Saccharomyces cerevisiae S288C: one gene and its partner. Changing the gene in region 1 together with any one later gene gives a genetic interaction. Each region holds a gene or a part of one and is shown in the gene's direction. Other genes may lie near its edges. The genes, in order: PHO89 and PHO90.

Region 1 (3,931 bases):
GTCATATTTAGAACATAAATATCTTCAAGATGCTCTCGTTCGATGTTTGATATTCAATATTTACACTCTAGTGTTTTCCCGAGAAAGAAACCTTCTGAAATGATTTTTTGTTCCTTTTTAATCTATTGAAAAATGGCGGTACGGACAATAAAATCCGGGGGCGGGGTAAATTGCGCATGGCCGTGGAATGTCACTGCAAAGTGAACGAGAAGATTAGAACACGGAATAAGGAAAACTTCTGGGGAATTTATTTTTCAAGATTTGGTTCCAGGTTTTTCCCCAGAAATGAAAGTGCTAGATGATTGGTTTTCAAGGAAGTTCTCAAAAGCTGTACACGGAAACAATCACGGCACCATTTCCTTGTCAACTCTGTCTTATATCAGAGTCCATAAACTAGTAAAATGACTTCGTAGAATCGAACAATATCTCACCATAAAATTTTTTTCACAAACAAAAAAGACGCTCTATTATACAAAAAGCTGCTGCGGCCCTTCTTAATGACTAAATCTTGACAACTGAGCTCTTTCACACCTGTGCAAAATCCAATGGGAGCAATAAATGTAACATATTTTTTTAACATACCACGGTAGGGCAATGAATATAAATAGATATTGGACCGTATCCTTTTCTGATCATCTTGAAAACATTGTCTTGCCTCTCAACAGCTTTATCTATTCTTCACCTCTCTTCGTTTGACTATTTCAGCATGTATTTTTTCACACAATTTTTCTTCCAACTATTTTCCAATATTACTACGAGAATTCCGACCACGGAAAAAAACTTGCGCTGTTCCAATCAGTCCCATTCTATCCATCTACCTGCCAGTGGTTTCGTAATATCGACTCACACCAGTAACGACATAACTGTTTTTTCGTTCATGATTTAATAGCGAGCCCACCTTTAACGCATATCTGCTTCACCGCTGAAATAATATTTTACGAGCACGCTAACACAATGCTTGTGTTTTCTGTTGAAATCACAATACCGTTACTTGGAGTGACCATTTATGGTTTGTTGAATTCACAGTACTCTCGTCAGCTTTGTCACGTATTCAACTGTAACCTCTTTGAATCTCAACACTACGTTGTCTTCGCGTGTACTAAATGTATCGATTATATAATAGTATTTAAAAATCATTTAAAATTGCACCATGTACTGTATAATGATTTTCTCAAGACGATATTTCGAGTTTTGCCGATGGGTCTTATAATCTCTTTTGATAGAGATACCTACTTTTAACAATATCAAAATTACTGATATAGGTTAATTTTTGTTCACGAGTAAGTACTTCAGTGACACTCGTCAGTAAAGAACATTAGCGGAATCGTTATAATTTCATTCCTTACATCCGTTTAATTTCATTAATTCGATGCATCTTTCTTTGGCGAAGCCAGAAAATCTAGTTTCAGAAATCTCGGTTTCACCCGCAAAAAAGTTTAAATTTCACAGATCGCGCCACACCGATCACAAAACGGCTTCACCACAAGGGTGTGTGGCTGTGCGATAGACCTTTTTTTTCTTTTTCTGCTTTTTCGTCATCCCCACGTTGTGCCATTAATTTGTTAGTGGGCCCTTAAATGTCGAAATATTGCTAAAAATTGGCCCGAGTCATTGAAAGGCTTTAAGAATATACCGTACAAAGGAGTTTATGTAATCTTAATAAATTGCATATGACAATGCAGCACGTGGGAGACAAATAGTAATAATACTAATCTATCAATACTAGATGTCACAGCCACTTTGGATCCTTCTATTATGTAAATCATTAGATTAACTCAGTCAATAGCAGATTTTTTTTACAATGTCTACTGGGTGGACATCTCCAAACAATTCATGTCACTAAGCCCGGTTTTCGATATGAAGAAAATTATATATAAACCTGCTGAAGATGATCTTTACATTGAGGTTATTTTACATGAATTGTCATAGAATGAGTGACATAGATCAAAGGTGAGAATACTGGAGCGTATCTAATCGAATCAATATAAACAAAGATTAAGCAAAAATGGCTTTACATCAATTTGACTATATTTTTGCCATTGCCATGTTATTTGCATTTTTGGATGCCTTTAACATCGGGGCAAACGACGTGGCGAACTCATTCGCGTCGTCGATCTCTTCTAGATCTCTAAAATACTGGCAAGCCATGGTTTTGGCGGGTCTCTGTGAGTTCTTGGGTGCTGTCTTGGCAGGCGCAAGAGTTTCTGGTACTATCAAGAACAACATTATAGATTCCTCCATTTTTACCAACGACCCCGCTGTTTTAATGCTTACTATGACCAGTGCTTTGATTGGCTCGTCTTGTTGGTTAACATTTGCTACTGCAATCGGAATGCCAGTTTCTACTACACATTCCATTGTTGGTGGTACAATTGGCGCTGGGATTGCAGCCGGTGGAGCTAACGGTGTCGTTTGGGGTTGGAGTGGTGTTTCTCAAATTATTGCGTCATGGTTCATTGCTCCGATTTTGGCAGGCGCGATCGCAGCTATAGTTTTTTCAATTTCTAGGTTTTCTGTCCTTGAAGTTAAGTCTTTGGAAAGATCGATTAAGAATGCTTTACTGCTGGTTGGTGTTTTAGTATTCGCCACTTTCTCTATCTTAACAATGTTGATTGTCTGGAAGGGTTCTCCAAACCTACACTTGGACGATTTATCTGAAACTGAAACTGCCGTATCTATTGTTCTCACAGGTGCAATTGCTTCGATCGTTTACTTCATCTTTTTCTACCCATTCTACAGAAGAAAAGTTTTGGACCAAGATTGGACACTAAAGTTGATTGATATTTTCAGAGGTCCATCTTTTTACTTTAAGTCCACTGATGATATCCCACCAATGCCAGAAGGCCATCAATTAACAATCGATTATTACGAGGGCAGAAGAAATCTTGGAACAACTGTTTCTGTTGAAGACGAAGAAAATAAGGCAGCGAGTAATTCTAATGATTCCGTCAAAAACAAAGAAGACATCCAGGAAGTGGACCTGGTTAGAACTGAAACTGAACCAGAAACAAAGTTGTCAACGAAACAATATTGGTGGTCATTATTAAAGCAAGGACCTAAAAAATGGCCCTTATTGTTCTGGTTAGTAATCTCTCATGGTTGGACTCAAGACGTCATTCATGCTCAAGTTAATGATAGAGATATGTTATCTGGTGACCTGAAAGGAATGTACGAAAGATCTAAATTTTACGACAATAGAGTAGAATATATCTATTCGGTTCTCCAAGCCATTACTGCAGCCACTATGTCTTTTGCTCATGGAGCTAATGACGTTGCCAACGCTACTGGTCCTTTGTCTGCTGTGTATGTGATCTGGAAAACTAACACTATTGGGGCAAAGTCCGAAGTTCCCGTGTGGGTTCTGGCTTATGGTGGTGTTGCCTTAGTTATTGGTTGCTGGACTTATGGTTACAATATTATCAAAAATCTAGGTAATAAGATGATTTTGCAGTCGCCATCAAGAGGCTTTTCAATTGAACTAGCTGTTGCTATTACTACTGTCATGGCTACCCAATTAGGTATTCCTACCTCAACAACCCAGATCGCCGTTGGTGGTATTGTCGCTGTTGGTTTATGTAACAAGGATCTCAAATCAGTTAATTGGAGAATGGTAGCCTGGTGTTATTCTGGTTGGTTTTTAACTTTACCAATTGCTGGTTTGATTGCCGGTATCATAAATGGTATCATTTTGAATGCTCCTCGCTTTGGTGTGGAATACCAAATGACATAATCATAATGTGTTTCGGTTATGAATACAGTTTTACAACATTAGGTAGAACTTTTATTGCTCAGTGACTTTAAAGTTAAAACATTTCTAATTTAAAACCTTAAAGATGCATTAATTTTTTTCTAATTTATCAGTTGATCTGCAATTACCTGGCATGGCTATGTGTATTTTTTTTTTTTATGAATTCCATCATATTAAATAGAA
Region 2 (3,931 bases), on another chromosome or scaffold:
ACCATCTATTGACATAATCTACGATGTGAGAGCTGTATGATATTGTGGAACTTTGTATATATTGAAAAAATTTTCCAGTGGAATTTTACTCGCGATGACTCAAGAGCGTGAAAAAAAAAAAAAAAAAAAAATTAATTGCTAAAAAATCAAATATATGCTTCCAATCGGATTTGAACCGATGATCTCCACATTACTAGTGTGGCGCCTTACCAACTTGGCCATAGAAGCTTCTATTTTATATTTGCCTGACCTATTTTAACGGTTATATTCCACAAACATTTTAATCATGAAGCAATTTTTTTGATGTTGATGTGAGAGTAATAAGCACTGTGCTGAGAAGAGGATCAACAACATGATATTCTACGGAACGTAAAGGATACAATGTTATTGGACTAAGAATCGTCTATCATCTTAAGAAATGGGTGGATGATCGGACAATTATTGAGAAGGTTTCATTGTGGAGAACAAATCGCAATATTGTGCAATCCTTTAGATATGTCAAGATAAAATACTAGGGAGGCTTCGCCCATTCATTAAAGAGTATAGCTACCGCATACTGTTTAGTAGTATACTATCACATGTGGTGTAAAAAGATAACATAAAGATTGAGAATCAGTCATCAAATGTAATGGAAGCTGAAAATGCAAGGATTGATAGTGTAATAGGAACGAAACATATGAAAACGGAATGAGGAATAGTCGTATTATTAGTATGTATAGATTCCATTTGAGAATTCTTATATCCTCGAGGGGAACTTCTAGTATATTCTGTATACATAATATTGTAGCCTCTATCAACAACGGAATCCCAACAATTATCTCAAAACTCACTTATATCTCACAAAACACTCAATAGCGACCCTTAAATGTTACTGAACCTCATATTGTTTCGCTCTGCTCCCTTATATATTGTTAATGCAATCGGGACAGCTCACTGACTGAACGGTGAATAGTGGCTCCCGGAAAGCTGAGAGTTGTGAACTCGCCACCTCTGTTAAGTAAGTCGTAAGCTGTTAAAGCTGCGTCACGAGTAATGAGCTGCCAGTTCGGCCTCTGATCGCTGTACTTTATGGTAAAAAGATAGTTCCTAGTAGAAGACGAGTCATACTCGTAAACAAGCACCGCTGGATACTCTTCTCTATCAAGACGTAAAGCGTACTTGTAATCTCTAAGTTCGCCAATCCAAATTTCTGATATGCCACTCATTATCCTCACCCCACATGCTGACACCTTATACATTCAATATCTCCCTTCTCCTACTTAACCTTATGTTACCCTTTTTTTTTGGCTTGCATTTATATTTGGTTTACATAGCAACAACCGATAGCGGGTAACAGCATTAAGCTTCCCATCTCCCGTTCACTGTTATTACCTTTGGCACGTAAAGGGCCGGCTAATAATGTCGTATTTCCACTGATTTGGATGTATGTTGCATGGTGCTAGATTGTGAATAAATCATTTCCACTGGTTTCTAGCAGAGGTAAGAAAATCAGTAGTAGCGGCAGCAGCCAAGAAAAATGGCAGCCTGGCAAGCAGCGAAGGCCATCTGTGCTGCATTTCCACACTCCTTGTATGACTGCATACGCATAAAGAGGTGCCTTGCTGTAGGCGTATATGATCCTAAGCAACAGAGAAACCACGGTTCTCTTCTCTTCTTATTTCGTTATTGTCTTCCCTTTTTACTATGGGTAAAGTCGCCCTAAAGCGGGGCGCTCACAATATCGCCGCAGCTACAGCCGTTTTTTTTTTTTTTGTTTTTTTTTGCGCTGCTTCTCGAAGAATGAATGGCTCACTGAAAAATTTTGATTCATCGATATAAAGAACACTGTTCACTTCGATGTCATCCGGCCAATAAAGTTGTTTTTAGGATAAACGAGTAAGTGGTAGCTGGTACAGGATCATGAGATTTTCACACTTCTTGAAGTACAATGCTGTCCCAGAATGGCAAAACCATTATATGGACTACAGCGAGCTGAAAAATCTTATTTACACGCTACAAACAGATGAACTTCAGGTTGGTGATAACGAAGAAGGATTTGGCGCAGGAAAGAGCTCTAACATTACAGATAGGTTCAAAAACAAGTTTTCTTTTAAAAATGCGAAGGAAGATACGTCTTCCGGTATGAACAAAGATGCAGGCATCGTTGAGGAAACCATCGAGTTGCGAGAGTTGCCTACTGCTCAGACGGTCGCTGCCAAACCTTCTCCTTTCAGAAGAATGAAGGAAAAGATATTTTACAAAAGAAGGTCGTCTTCCGCATCGTCCGTCTCCTCCACGGCCAACGAAAATCTGCAATTAGACACTTATGATACGTTTGTTGGTGATTTAACAGCTGAAAAACAGAAAGTAGATGATTTTTATAAGAGGACAGAAGCGAAGTTCTACGACAAATTTGACGCGCTGGTGAAGGACCTGAAGAAAATCGGAGTTATAGAATACGATATCGACGATGATACTCTGTTTAACGAACCGATTGCCAGCACAAATGACGAAGTTCCCCCACTAGACTTGGATGATGACGAAGACGACGACGAATTTTACGATGATCAATCTAATATTGAAGATAATACTGCTTTGCTGCATCATTCGCAGTATAACATTAAGTCTCAGAAAAAATCGCTGTTGAAGAAGTCGATCGTAAACCTATATATCGATCTTTGCCAGTTGAAGTCGTTCATCGAATTGAACCGCATTGGGTTTGCAAAAATTACAAAGAAATCAGACAAAGTTCTTCACTTGAATACAAGAACCGAACTGATCGAATCGGAGCAGTTTTTCAAAGACACATATGCATTCCAGGCAGAAACGATCGAATTGCTAAATTCCAAAATTTCCCAGCTAGTCACATTTTATGCGCGCATCACTGACCGGCCTCATAATATCTCGCATAGCAAGCAAGAGTTGAAATCCTACCTGCATGACCACATTGTTTGGGAAAGAAGTAACACTTGGAAAGACATGTTGGGACTGCTATCGCAAGCTGACGAGTTGACACCAAAGGAAACAGAATATAATGCAAATAAGCTGGTAGGCAAGTTAGATTTGGAATACTACAGATGGCCACTACCCAGACCGATAAACTTAAAATTCACTAGTATAAACAACGTTGCACTACCGAAATTATTTTTCACCAAGAAAGCATACAAGATTTACTTTATTATTCTAGTCACTGGACTCTTGTTAGGAATAAAGACCTTCAACGACGCTGCTCAGCACCGCTGCATGGCCCTTGTCGAGTGTGTCGCCTTTTTGTGGGCTAGTGAGGCCATCCCATTACACATTACAGCATTCCTTGTACCACTACTTGTAGTCCTTTTCAAAGTCCTAAAAACCTCCGACGGGGCTATAATGAGTGCTGCAAGCGCTTCATCAGAAATTTTGGCCGCCATGTGGTCTTCTACAATTATGATTCTGCTGGCAGGTTTTACTTTGGGTGAAGTACTTGCACAATATAACATCGCCAAAGTTCTTGCCTCGTGGTTGTTGGCCTTCGCTGGTTGTAAACCCAGAAACGTTCTTTTAATGGCAATGTGTGTCGTGTTCTTCCTATCAATGTGGATTTCCAATGTCGCAGCACCTGTTCTAACATATTCGTTGTTATCTCCCCTATTGGATGCCATGGATGCAGATAGCCCATTTGCGCAAGCATTGGTGTTAGGTGTAGCGTTGGCTGCAAATATCGGTGGTATGTCTTCACCAATCTCTTCACCTCAAAACATCATTTCCATGTCGTACTTGAAACCCTATGGTATTGGCTGGGGCCAATTCTTTGCTGTTGCATTGCCATCTGGTATCCTGGCCATGCTTTTGGTTTGGATTTTATTGTTCACTACTTTCAAGATGAATAAGACCAAATTGGAAAAATTTAAGCCTATTAAGACGAAATTCACAGTTAAGCAGTATTATATCATTACTGTCACTGTGGCCACTA

The links.
Region 2: mutations in PHO89 (region 1) and PHO90 are lethal when combined (synthetic lethality), as found in Saccharomyces cerevisiae (2 studies listed by BioGRID, with this or other methods).

What each region holds. Positions count from the first base shown.
Region 1 is NC_001134.8:796,597-800,527, reverse strand, and holds PHO89 (Pho89p), read left to right. Parts: upstream 1-2,005; coding exon 2,006-3,730; downstream 3,731-3,931. Other genes in the region: transcription factor MAL33, read right to left, coding at 1-5; TYC1 (Tyc1p), read left to right, coding at 286-405. UniProt on the Saccharomyces cerevisiae protein: Sodium-phosphate symporter. Active in early growth phase.
Region 2 is NC_001142.9:58,945-62,875, forward strand, and holds the start of PHO90 (SPX domain-containing inorganic phosphate transporter), read left to right. Parts: upstream 1-1,899; coding exon 1,900-3,931. Other genes in the region: MBB1 (Mbb1p), read right to left, coding at 912-1,238. UniProt on the Saccharomyces cerevisiae protein: Low-affinity phosphate transporter involved in the control of cellular phosphate levels.